Linked DNA regions of Saccharomyces cerevisiae S288C. The gene in region 1 interacts genetically with each later gene. Each region holds a gene or a part of one and is shown in the gene's direction. Other genes may lie near its edges.

Evidence for each region. A genetic interaction does not mean that the proteins touch.
Region 2: mutations in CSE2 (region 1) and HTZ1 together harm fitness more than expected from each alone (negative genetic interaction), as found in Saccharomyces cerevisiae (5 studies listed by BioGRID, with this or other methods).
Region 3: mutations in CSE2 (region 1) and SAC3 together harm fitness more than expected from each alone (negative genetic interaction), as found in Saccharomyces cerevisiae (4 studies listed by BioGRID).

The regions. Positions count from the first base shown.
Region 1 is NC_001146.8:641,885-646,883, forward strand, and holds CSE2 (Cse2p), read left to right. Parts: upstream 1-1,859; coding exon 1,860-2,309; downstream 2,310-4,999. Other genes in the region: LRO1 (phospholipid:diacylglycerol acyltransferase), read left to right, coding at 1-497; NRM1 (Nrm1p), read left to right, coding at 806-1,555; DEAH-box RNA-dependent ATPase PRP2, read right to left, coding at 2,436-4,999. UniProt on the Saccharomyces cerevisiae protein: Component of the Mediator complex, a coactivator involved in the regulated transcription of nearly all RNA polymerase II-dependent genes.
Region 2 is NC_001147.6:303,079-305,638, reverse strand, and holds HTZ1 (histone H2AZ), read left to right. Parts: upstream 1-1,655; coding exon 1,656-2,060; downstream 2,061-2,560. Other genes in the region: PLB3 (lysophospholipase), read right to left, coding at 1-290. UniProt on the Saccharomyces cerevisiae protein: Variant histone H2A which can replace H2A in some nucleosomes. Nucleosomes wrap and compact DNA into chromatin, limiting DNA accessibility to the cellular machineries which require DNA as a template.
Region 3 is NC_001136.10:770,190-776,282, forward strand, and holds SAC3 (Sac3p), read left to right. Parts: upstream 1-1,687; coding exon 1,688-5,593; downstream 5,594-6,093. Other genes in the region: YDR157W (uncharacterized protein), read left to right, coding at 1-143; HOM2 (aspartate-semialdehyde dehydrogenase), read left to right, coding at 168-1,265; SSY1 (Ssy1p), read left to right, coding at 5,974-6,093.

The DNA.
Region 1 (4,999 bases):
AGTTAAGAAAAAATGAGCTACACCACAAGCACTGGTCGAATCCAATGGAAGTACCACTTCCAGAAGCTCCCCACATGAAAATCTATTGTATATACGGGGTGAACAACCCAACTGAAAGGGCATATGTATATAAGGAAGAGGATGACTCCTCTGCTCTGAATTTGACCATCGACTACGAAAGCAAGCAACCTGTATTCCTCACCGAGGGGGACGGAACCGTTCCGCTCGTGGCGCATTCAATGTGTCACAAATGGGCCCAGGGTGCTTCACCGTACAACCCTGCCGGAATTAACGTTACTATTGTGGAAATGAAACACCAGCCAGATCGATTTGATATACGTGGTGGAGCAAAAAGCGCCGAACACGTAGACATCCTCGGCAGCGCGGAGTTGAACGATTACATCTTGAAAATTGCAAGCGGTAATGGCGATCTCGTCGAGCCACGCCAATTGTCTAATTTGAGCCAGTGGGTTTCTCAGATGCCCTTCCCAATGTAAATGACCGACATTGACTCACTATCCATCCGTGTATTATTTCAAAGAGCGAAAAGAAGGCGCGTCGCGTCGACGCGCCTTTTTAGGCTAGAAAATAAACAGAAAACAAAAACAAAAACAAAAAAAGGCGAAAAAACAAACGAAAAAACAAACGACAGTAGATAGAGGAGAAGGTTTTTGACAGGTTTGTGTAATTGGTTATTTGCTTTTATAGATTATATATACACAAACTTAAAACACTGTTTTCTAAGTAGGCTGCGGAGAGGGCCAATTGCAGCAGCGACGTACGCATAGAGGAAAAACAACCGTTCATGTCCATTATGAAGCAGAGGCTACCACTGGGGGAGTTTTCCAGCTCGAAGATCAACAAACTGGCAATTGCCAATATTGCAGACGCTAGCGAGCCTAGAAACCATGGAGAAAACAACGTCGGGACTGTGTGTCTTCCCTCTATCAAGAGTTTGATGGTTAGTCCTGAAGTATACGAAAACACGAAGAGTCTTCCTGTTCCCCTAATGAGGAGCAGTGGCGGAGGTATGGCTTGTGCCAGTAAGTCCTCATGCCAGGATGGTATTAGTACGAAAACAACGTCTAGAGATTACTCTGAGCTTTCCAAGAAGTTGCAAATTCGTTTACAGTTCGCCTATTATAAATACAAGACTAAGCAAACAGACAAAAATTTCACAGACTTGAAATCAAAGCATAGCATTACGAGGCCTTCCAAAGTCGCGACTCACAGTAAATCAGAACCTTTAACTAGGAGAAGAAAATTAGTACTATCTCAGGGTCATTATAAAACCCCTGCTAGGTCTAAGATCAAAACTCCATCTTCGATTTGCTCTCACGATAATACATCTTCCTTTACATCTTTCCGCGGTGTCAGCGAAAGCTCGAGCACTACCGCAGATATGAACGTCGCAGATACCACCACACCAATACGCAACAACATAAACACAAAGCATTCAAACAGTCATAATCGCACATTGTATCAGAGACAAGAAACACCTACAAGCATCAAAGCCGCTAAGTCTTTAATTCATCTCTTTACAAGTAACCAATAATCCCACCCCCAATATTTCTATCTTTCATTTTCATTCTCCTTCATTGTGTATATAATAATATTATTGTCTTCGTATATCTTCCACATTACCTTTTCACTTCCGCTTTAGTTCTGTACGTATAATTAGATAGAATATCATATAAAACCTGATTTTATTAGTATCGATTGCAATTCTACTGCGGCCATTAACTGTAACCGAATTGAAGAAAATAAAAGAAAAAAAGAGAACATGCATAAATGGGAAAAAGAAGGCGAAGCATACCAGCATCTACCAGAGAGACACGAGCACTGAAAGTCGCCATAAAATGAATCTACAGAACAACGTTTTAAATCAGATACACCAGATTCTGCTGCCTACGAATCCTACTCTCGATAAACCTAATGCTGAGGCTACAAAGGAAGAATTTTCGTCTGCAGAAAATAGAGATGAAAAAGACTATCTTACCAACCAGCAGCCGAAAAATCTGAGTACTCCCTCCACCAGTTCCAACGGTGAATTTATACCGCATATTTTTTATTCGCTGCACCAAATAAGGAAGGATCCAAACAATCTCTCAAATCAATTGGAAACCTTAACAGGTTCGATTAGACATCGTTTGAAACTTTGTAAATCTTTGATATCGGAAAACGAAGATACCAAGGATTTATTAAGTAAAAGTCCATCAGAATGGCAGGATATCATCCATCAACGTGAACAAGAACTGCAAATTAAGAGAGACGTCTTGGATGATCTTTATCGCAAGTTACAACGATAAAATCTATGCTATCTATCTTTAGTCTATATATATATATATATATACATACGCATACCACATCTTCAAACGTGCATATAGAATGGAGCCTGCGTTTCTAGCAATACACATACACCTGTCAAAAAACCTTCACCGCCTCCCCCTATTTGTTTTATCGTCAATTAAATCTTTAAAGATTTGTGGAACCATGTCTATCAACCATTCTTCCTTAGGGATAACTAGACAGTCCCTGATAAATTCCTTCGACGTTAGCATCAATTGTTGATAAAGCACATATTTGCTTGGTCTCTGCGCCTTTTCCTTATGATTAACGAAAAGTATACTGGTAGGATGAACACTAACGTTCAGCCCACCTGATGACCTACCCATGGTTTGATAGCCGGTGGGGCCTAATTGTACAATATTCATCGGAAACCCGCTGATGAAGCATCGAGTTATTCTAGCATTTATGTAGCCCGCTATATTGCCTATCTTCATCCTGGCTTGGTCGTTCTTTTCAACTAATCCAACCTTTTCACTGCACCTGAATAATTGGTTTCTAATATTTCTTACCCTCAACATCGTTTTGAATTGAATTTTGTGGTCTTGACACCAACTTCTGGAAAATTTAGAGTTTCTCCATTGGTTGAAGATTTCCAAATACAATATGTGATCACTTTCCACTTCGCTTAACACACTTGCCGCAGCATCTCTTTTTTGACCAATAAATAATGAAGGTGTTTCATGTAGCATCGAAACTATGGTCAAACACTCTTCTAGTACACCTTGACATTGTTCGTGCGTAGCAGCTGTATAAAGCACTTTTGCAAATTCAGGTTCACAAGGAAACTCGCACATCATTTTACCTAACCGAGTGATTGTCCCTTTGCTATTTAAGGCACCTAAAATGTATAAATTTTCCAAAGACTTCCGTAATGTGGGGATACTGGGCTTATCCATCAGGGGAAACTTTATTAGGTCAGTAACGCCAAGCGATAATAATAATAACACCGTATTAGAAAGATTTGTTCTTGTGATCTCAGGCTTAGGCATAAGTTCCAACTCGTGCAAATATGACCATTTGGTAAAAATTCTAAAACATTTTCCCGGCCCAACACGACCAGCCCTACCGGCACGCTGATCAACTGAAGCTCTTGAGCATGGAACTGTTAAAAGTTGGGTCATTCCAGTGGAGGGTACGTACGAATTTTCCTTAACAAATCCAGGATCAATGACATATCTAATACCATCAATGGTCAATGAAGTTTCCGCAATATTAGTTGCCAAAACAACTTTCCTACAATTTTCCGGAGTCGGCTGGAAAATTTTCAATTGCTGCTCTTGGGGTAAATTTGCGTATATAGGAGTTATAATCATTTGTTTTGTTCTAGAACCTAATTTAGACATGATCTCCTCCAGTTTGGTTTTTGTTCTTTCAATTTCTTCTTGCCCCGTTAAAAACACCAATATATCCCCCGGTAAACTTTGCGTAGTATGAATTTGAAAAATAGTTGTTATAGCGGCATGTATATAGTTTGCCTCCGGCTGTAATGTGTAGTGGATATCTACAGGATATCTTCTCCCAGGAACGTTGAAAATGGGACAATTATCAAAAAACTCTGAAAATTTTTTTGCGTTCATTGTTGCTGATGATATAAGCAATTTTAAAGTGGGCCTCTGCGGCAAAATATCTTTCAGCAAACCTATCAGGATATCTGTGGCTAGAGTACGTTCATGAGCTTCATCAATCATAATACAAGAATATTTGCTTAATTTGGAATCTGTAAGAAATTCTCTTAGTAACATACCATCCGTCATATACTTTAGAACCGTTTTATTTGGGGTTGTTTTGTCTTCAAAACGGATCTGATAACCCACTTCCTTCCCAAGCACAACATTCATTTCATCTGCTACTCTTGCAGCAACAGAAGTGGCCGCCACACGACGTGGTTGTGTTATGGCAATCTGTAACTTTCCCTGATCAGTGAATCCATCTTCTACCAAATATTGGGGTAACTGTGTGGTTTTACCAGAACCGGTTTCACCCATTATAATCAAAACTTGATTTTTTTTGATCTCTTGTAGTAGCTCATCCTTGTATTGATGTACAGGCAAAAGTTTTCTTGCCTCTTGTATAGTCAGTATACGCTTTTCCTCAGTTTCTAAAGCTTGTGCTAGACGTGCCTCATATTGAAGTTTCTCTTCAGGTAGTAAATCGTCCTCCTCATTAGTATAATCAATCATTGCATCTGTGTCGAACACATAATCGTACTTGTCAGAGCCTTCCAATGTTATATCATCAGGGTGATCGCTTTGCCCCGCCATAGCATTTCGCAATTGTTGTTCTTCCCACATGCGTTGTCTGTTTATTTTGTCAATTTCTTTTGCATTCTTTATTTTATGAGTAACTTCTACGTTAAATTTAGAATTAGAAGAGGCGTACTTAGTTTCATTCTCGGAGTCACCTAGTAGACCCTTCTTTGTAGTAAGTTCATTATTTGACGTTATTTTTTCATCATACTTTGATGACTTTTTTTGTGATCCAAGTTGTTCTCCTTTTAAATTGTTCTTTTCTGGACCTTGGTTCGTATTAGAAAAAACTTTATTGGGGTCATAGCGTGATCGTTTTAGCTGCAAGGCAGAGTTCTTATCCTTGGCCTCTTTGTCTTCTTCCTCACCCAAGGAAGAAGGCTCTATTCTTACTGCATTGTCAT
Region 2 (2,560 bases), on another chromosome or scaffold:
CCATCATTAAATAGCTTCGACAAAACTTCTGAGCTATCTGAAAAATTTGCAGTAGCCCTAGTCAAGAAATCTTTTAAAGCTACACTAGTGACTTTATTCCTCTTTTCCAACCATGCGCTCTCATTCTGAGATATAGACGTAGCCTCTCTTACCAGATTTATGTCATCGGGACACGACACGGTGCCAGGAACATAACTATCTGTGGGCGACCACGCATTAGCGGCCAGTAGAAACTGAGAAATTGCGAATATGTAACTGATAATAATTTTTGAACATAATGGACGTATCATTACTTATATTATTATGTGTGTAATTTCCTTGCTTTTAGTCCTCTTAAAACGGCGTATTCCAAGCTGAAAAGTGAAATATTAGAACTCGTAAAACCACGTATAACTTATATAAAAGTGGATGAAAAGCGTAACAATAACATAGTAGTGTGGTAATAATGGTGATAGAATCCCTGCAAGTCTGGATCTTGCAAAAGAAGTGCCAAATTGAGTAATTCCATAGCCAAGCCATCTTAAAAGCAGGGAAAAAGAAAGAAGAGAAAAAGGCTCATTGCACAGAAGAACCAGTACAACATTCGCGGAACCGGCAAGATATTTTCGTGGAGGACTAAAGCGAAACGAAAACGGATGAAGTTGCGGTATTTCCTGATTTGGAAGTTCTATGGGGCGTCCACCGGTTTCAAAAAAAAAGGAAAAATGATTTGCGTTTTAGTCATTGAGAACGAAAGGAGGAATTGGATTACGCGGGCAGTAATATGGTGCGCGATGCTGGCGTATTAACGCGAGATGAAGGAGGCTGAAGTCAGGAAAACTCATGTGAGTGTGACGTTACCGATGACATTATGGACACTTTTAAATGGTCATGTGACGCGGTATCACAGGAGGCAAACAACTGTACTCAGCAATTTCCCGATCACCTACTAACTGCGCTCTCTTCGCCTGGTATGCTCTTTTTGCAACGCACAAAGCTTCGTATAGTATTCATTATACGATTATTAGGAGTGCTGATGACTATCGTCTGTATTCTCTGAAGTGTTTGCCGCTGTTGTGTCTTGCCTTGCAACAGCGTATGTTTACCGTTTTATATATTGCGTGGCGCGCACCCGGTGATAAGAAACATCCATGTGATAAAACTCCGCACGTTGCTTGATTAATTAACCTCGGAGGTGTTACCCGCAATCAATATGTCTGCCAGCCGCCCGCCCGCCCCGGAGAAAAGAGCTTAGGACAAGAATCACTGTCTCTTACCTTGGAATCAGGGCAGGTCCGCACAAGCGGTAGTAAGCACATACCTAAAATAGCAGTATTCTTCTTTCTTTAGAGAACGTTAGACTCAATTGAAAAGGTTTACTGAATGCATCCATGCTAGATTAGCACACAGTAACTTTACGCCCGTAACTTACTACTCGTAGAACTGGCCGCTGGTGTTCCGTAACCCGCCGCGCTCGCTCCGTGCACGAAAACAACAAAACAAAAAAAACAACAAATAAAGCATACAGCTCTATTTAACAGCTGAACTATTATCCAGTGTAATAGAGTCACAACCCCCAACTAAAAAACACTGCGGACTCTATTATACTTCAGTCGGAAAAAATATCGTTAAATTCAATTTCGCACTATAGCCGCACGTAAAAATAACTTAACATAATGTCAGGAAAAGCTCATGGAGGTAAAGGTAAATCCGGCGCTAAAGACAGTGGTTCATTGAGATCTCAATCTTCTTCAGCAAGGGCTGGCTTGCAGTTTCCTGTCGGTAGGATTAAGCGTTACCTGAAAAGGCACGCTACCGGCCGAACAAGAGTAGGATCCAAAGCTGCCATTTATTTGACTGCTGTGTTGGAATATTTGACTGCTGAAGTGCTGGAGTTGGCTGGTAATGCAGCCAAGGATCTTAAAGTCAAGAGGATTACCCCAAGACATCTGCAATTGGCCATTAGAGGTGACGATGAGTTAGATTCTTTGATCAGGGCTACAATTGCTTCAGGTGGTGTTTTGCCTCATATAAATAAAGCATTATTATTGAAAGTGGAAAAAAAGGGAAGTAAGAAATAAGAAGAATAGTTTTTCTTTCCCATTTCCCGTAATTCTCCCTGCTCCTGTATCCTCATTCTATCCATATTAACGTCTGTATCATTATTATAAGTTGAAATTTGTCTCTCCGTACCCGAGTTATATACATACATATATGTAATCTATCTCTCCTTTCACGTCTAATCTCTTATGTTTTTACTATAATATATAGCATGAAAATATACTCTCACACAATATTCCCAACGATAGCGCAGTAGCCGTTATGTACGCAGAAATTTGGTCAGGGCTTTCTTTTTGTTGAACTTTGCATACCCGGAAAAATGGAAATTAAGGACACCTACAAAAGTACACTGTAGAAATCAAATCAAAGAAAAGGTTTAATAGACGATAAATTTCCATACGTGCCGACAGGACAAAAAAAAAACCCCCCTACCATTTCTAATAACAGCTTCACCACTAGTTATACTGTCGACTTTCTACCGATTTGTTGGTTCCTTTTTATAACCAGAAAATCATCTATC
Region 3 (6,093 bases), on another chromosome or scaffold:
ACTACTACCAGTTCAAAATGTTAGAGAAAAATAGAAAAGCAGAAAAAATAAATAAAAGAACCATATTTATTTGTTCATTCACTTTCGAGTATAAAATTAAATCTTGTTTTTCTTGTTTTCACTTAAGTACACATACAAATTAAATTGTAGAAATAAAGCGTTCTAAAATGGCTGGAAAGAAAATTGCTGGTGTTTTGGGTGCTACTGGTTCCGTTGGTCAACGTTTCATTCTGTTGTTGGCAAATCACCCTCATTTCGAACTGAAAGTTCTTGGTGCCTCTTCTAGATCAGCTGGCAAGAAATACGTTGACGCTGTGAACTGGAAGCAAACCGATTTGCTACCGGAATCTGCTACCGATATTATTGTTTCCGAATGTAAATCTGAATTCTTTAAAGAGTGTGACATCGTCTTTTCCGGATTGGATGCTGACTATGCTGGCGCTATCGAAAAGGAATTCATGGAAGCTGGTATCGCCATTGTTTCCAATGCCAAGAATTATAGAAGAGAACAAGATGTGCCATTGATTGTTCCTGTTGTCAATCCTGAGCATTTGGATATTGTAGCTCAAAAGCTTGACACCGCCAAGGCTCAAGGTAAGCCAAGACCAGGGTTCATTATCTGTATTTCCAATTGTTCCACTGCAGGTTTGGTTGCACCATTGAAGCCTTTGATTGAAAAATTCGGTCCTATTGATGCTTTGACCACTACTACTTTGCAAGCAATCTCAGGTGCTGGTTTCTCCCCAGGTGTACCAGGTATTGATATTCTAGACAATATTATTCCATACATTGGTGGTGAAGAAGACAAGATGGAATGGGAGACCAAGAAAATCTTGGCTCCATTAGCAGAAGACAAGACACACGTCAAACTATTGACTCCAGAAGAAATCAAAGTCTCTGCTCAATGTAACAGAGTCGCTGTTTCCGATGGGCACACCGAATGTATCTCTTTGAGGTTCAAGAACAGACCTGCTCCATCCGTCGAGCAAGTCAAGACATGCCTAAAAGAATACGTCTGCGATGCCTACAAATTAGGCTGTCATTCTGCTCCAAAGCAAACTATTCATGTTTTGGAACAACCAGACAGACCTCAACCAAGGTTGGACAGGAACAGAGACAGCGGTTACGGTGTTTCCGTTGGTAGAATCAGAGAAGACCCATTGTTAGATTTCAAAATGGTTGTCCTTTCCCACAACACCATTATTGGTGCCGCTGGTTCTGGTGTCTTGATTGCCGAAATCTTACTAGCAAGAAACTTGATTTAAGGAAAAATTGCAAAGTTATGTCTTCATCTTACTTTTTTTTCGAACGAACAAAAAATACAAAACAAGTAAATAAGTATATGTGTATGAATATACGTATAATAATTTGAAACGTAGATCTTTATTATTAGTTTCTTGAGTTTCGAGAATTCGTGATTCAATGTTCATTATTTTTTCTTTTCTTTTCTTTTCAATAGTATAATACCAAGCCTTTATTATTTTTCTTCCACTTCAAGAAAAGGTAATTCTCTCGCTGACCCAAGAAAAAAGCTAAACAGAGAGCGTAGTGATGCATACAAACAACTCATTTACATGGGAAAAAAAAGGAGAGAGGAAAGCAGCAGACATATCTCAAAGCTGGGATACACTCACAATAGCACTGTTGGTACTCATTTCAGGTAATACTCTTGGAAGGTATCCCTTAAATGAACACATCATTTGGCTCAGTAGTGCCTTCCACTAATTTCAATTTTTTCAAAGGGCATGGAAATAATGATAACACTAGTGCCAATAGTACTGTTAACAACAGCAATTTCTTTTTAAATAGCAATGAAACGAAACCTTCGAAAAATGTCTTCATGGTGCACTCTACCTCTCAAAAGAAGTCGCAGCAACCGTTACAAAATCTCTCACACTCACCTTCCTACACGGAAAATAAACCAGATAAAAAGAAAAAATATATGATAAACGATGCCAAGACCATTCAACTTGTAGGTCCACTGATTTCCTCTCCTGATAATTTGGGATTTCAGAAGAGATCGCACAAAGCAAGAGAATTACCAAGGTTTTTGATTAATCAAGAACCTCAATTGGAGAAAAGAGCTTTTGTACAAGATCCCTGGGACAAGGCTAATCAAGAAAAAATGATCTCATTGGAAGAATCCATAGATGATCTCAATGAATTGTATGAAACACTAAAAAAAATGAGAAATACTGAGCGATCGATAATGGAAGAAAAAGGGCTAGTGGATAAAGCTGACTCAGCAAAGGATCTTTACGATGCTATAGTATTTCAAGGTACCTGTTTAGATATGTGTCCCACATTCGAGAGATCAAGAAGAAACGTTGAATATACTGTGTATTCATATGAAAAAAATCAACCAAATGATAAAAAAGCTTCTCGAACTAAAGCATTGAAGGTCTTCGCGAGGCCAGCAGCAGCAGCAGCTCCTCCTTTACCTTCTGATGTTAGGCCACCCCATATTTTAGTCAAGACATTGGACTATATTGTAGATAACTTATTAACAACATTGCCTGAAAGCGAAGGATTCTTATGGGATAGGATGAGATCCATAAGGCAGGACTTTACATATCAGAACTATTCAGGACCTGAGGCGGTAGATTGTAATGAGCGTATTGTTAGGATACATCTTCTGATCTTGCATATCATGGTGAAATCAAATGTGGAATTTTCGCTTCAACAAGAACTAGAACAATTGCATAAATCCCTTATCACGTTATCAGAAATATACGATGACGTTCGTTCCAGCGGCGGAACATGCCCAAATGAGGCTGAATTTCGAGCTTATGCTCTCCTGAGTAAAATAAGAGACCCTCAATACGATGAGAATATCCAAAGATTACCAAAACATATTTTCCAAGATAAATTAGTTCAAATGGCTTTATGTTTCAGAAGGGTTATATCTAACTCAGCTTATACTGAACGCGGGTTTGTTAAAACTGAGAATTGTTTAAACTTCTACGCAAGGTTTTTCCAGTTAATGCAATCACCCAGCTTGCCATTATTAATGGGATTTTTTTTGCAAATGCATCTGACGGATATTAGATTTTATGCGCTAAGAGCTTTATCACATACTTTAAACAAAAAGCATAAACCAATACCATTTATTTATTTGGAAAATATGTTACTCTTTAATAATCGGCAAGAAATAATTGAATTTTGTAATTATTACTCAATTGAAATCATAAATGGGGATGCAGCCGATTTGAAAACATTGCAACATTATTCTCACAAATTGTCAGAAACACAACCTTTAAAAAAAACATACCTTACCTGCTTAGAAAGGAGATTACAGAAAACTACTTACAAGGGTTTAATTAATGGCGGTGAAGATAATTTGGCTTCTTCGGTTTATGTGAAGGACCCAAAAAAGGATAGAATACCTTCTATCGCAGACCAATCTTTTTTAATGGAAAATTTTCAAAACAACTATAACGAAAAGTTGAACCAAAACTCATCCGTTAAACCACAGATCAATACCTCTCCAAAAAGAGTTGCAACGCGGCCCAACCACTTTCCTTTTTCACAGGAATCTAAGCAATTACCTCAAATATCTCAATCTCATACTTTATCAACAAATCCTTTATTAACGCCACAGGTTCATGGAGACCTATCGGAACAGAAACAACAACAAATTAAAACCGTCACAGACGGAGGCTCCCCATTTGTTTTTGATCAATCAGCACAGAATTCTACGGTGGAAGCTTCCAAGGCTCATATGATATCCACGACCAGCAATGGTGCATATGATGAGAAGTTGAGTTCAGAGCAAGAAGAAATGAGGAAAAAAGAAGAACAACGAATAGAAGAAGAGAAAACTCAATTGAAAAAGAAGCAAGAAAATGCGGACAAACAAGTAATCACTGAACAAATTGCAAATGACTTAGTAAAAGAAGTGGTAAACAGTAGCGTGATTAGTATTGTTAAGCGTGAATTTTCAGAGGCTAATTATAGGAAGGACTTCATTGACACAATGACCCGTGAACTTTATGACGCATTTCTTCATGAAAGGTTGTATCTGATATATATGGATTCTCGTGCTGAATTGAAAAGGAATTCCACTCTAAAAAAAAAGTTCTTTGAGAAATGGCAAGCATCTTATTCTCAAGCAAAGAAGAACCGTATATTAGAAGAAAAAAAAAGGGAAGAAATTAAACTCGTAAGCCACCAATTAGGAGTACCAGGTTTTAAAAAATCTACATGTTTGTTTAGAACCCCGTATAAGGGTAACGTAAATTCATCATTTATGCTATCATCTTCAGATAAGAATCTAATATTTTCACCTGTAAATGACGAGTTTAATAAGTTTGCGACTCATTTAACCAAGATTTCAAAACTTTGGCGGCCGTTAGAGATGCAATCAATCTATTATGATAACCTTACGAAAAAGTTCCCCTCCAATTCTCTTACTCCGGCAAATTTATTCATTTATGCGAAAGATTGGACATCACTCTCAAACCGTTGGATCTTAAGTAAGTTCAATCTGCAAACAGCACAGGATTCAAAAAAGTTCAGCAATAATATTATCTCTAGCAGAATAATTTGTATTGATGATGAATATGAACCATCTGATTTTAGTGATTTGCAATTATTGATATTTAATACAGGTGTTACGAATCCAGATATATTCGATTTGGAGATGAAACTGAAAGATGATGGTGAAGAACTGATAAAGCTAATCACTGGTATTTCTCTAAATACAAATATATGCTTTTCCCTTTTGATTATTTATTGGGAATCCGCAGAAAATACTTTATCGGAAAGTACCATTAAACACTTACTAAAATTAAACCGAATATCTAAAAACTATAGTAGTGTTATTGAACGCATTGACTTAATGAATCTCACCGAAGAATCCCCTCATAAGTGTTTAGAGGACAAATTATCTGAAATATCACATTCTTATGTGTACAAGTTGACAGAAAGGGGAAAATATGATAAAACACTTCGTCAGAAAAGGTCATTGGCCGGCATTCACTCACGTAGCACTCAACTACAAACTACAAAGGACATTGATCAAAAGATGAAGAAAATGCTGGAAAAAGAGAAAAACAAGTACCAACAACAAATAGGCGAAAGGAACACCTATGCGCATCTAGAATCGCATATAGATGCATCACCAAGAAGCAAGAAAAGGAAATTGCCAATACTCCTGTCAACTTCTCATTCGAGCCAATTTAAAACTCCTCTAGCTTCTAGATTAAACACCTCTGGTTCGTCTACTTCACCACCTTTACCATCTCATTTGGCGATGAAATTCAGGAAAAACTCGAGAGTTACTAGTTTACATACCGTATTACCCGTTAGCACACCAAGCCATAGTAATAACATACCAGCTGCAAGTTTTAGCGGGAATAACACCACCGATATACAGTCCCAACAATTAATCGAAAACCAGAAGAGTACATCTGTATATTTGAATAACGTTTCTGAAAGGATTCTGGGAAATCAAGAAATATGTCAAACACCAATTAATCCTGTTACTCCTGTGCTAGATGGGGCCGATCAAGGTAAGGAGGACATTCCTGATAGTATATTAGAGCTGAAGATCTTGATCGATTCTGTCAAGAAGAAAGTAAATAATGATTAAAGCATTTGTAATATATAAACAAAAGAAATGTGCATTTTTTCTATAGCTTTAGGAAAAGTATTTGATAATCACCCATTTCTTATTACTGTCGGCGTGCCATCCTTTTCTCTAAAGCTCGGCGGAAGAAAAATTCAATAATTGTGCAAAAAGTGAAGCCAGGGTTGCAAATACAGAGTTATATCAAAAGACCTACAGAGTATACATACACGTTCTCAGGGAAAAGTCTTCTGATATATTAACTTTACACATGCATTGCCTATCATAATCATATACTGTTGAAGACTAATAGAAGCATCTCTAGGGGAAAAAAGGAAACAGGCGTGTGATAAGAGGCCAAAAAGTTATAAACTGCTTAAAAATAGGGAAGTTCCTTGAGGAATATGAGTTCTGTCAACCAAATATATGACCTATTTCCCAATAAGCATAATATCCAATTTACAGATTCTCATTCACAGGAGCATGATACTTCGTCCAGCCTTGCTAAGAATGATACAGACGGA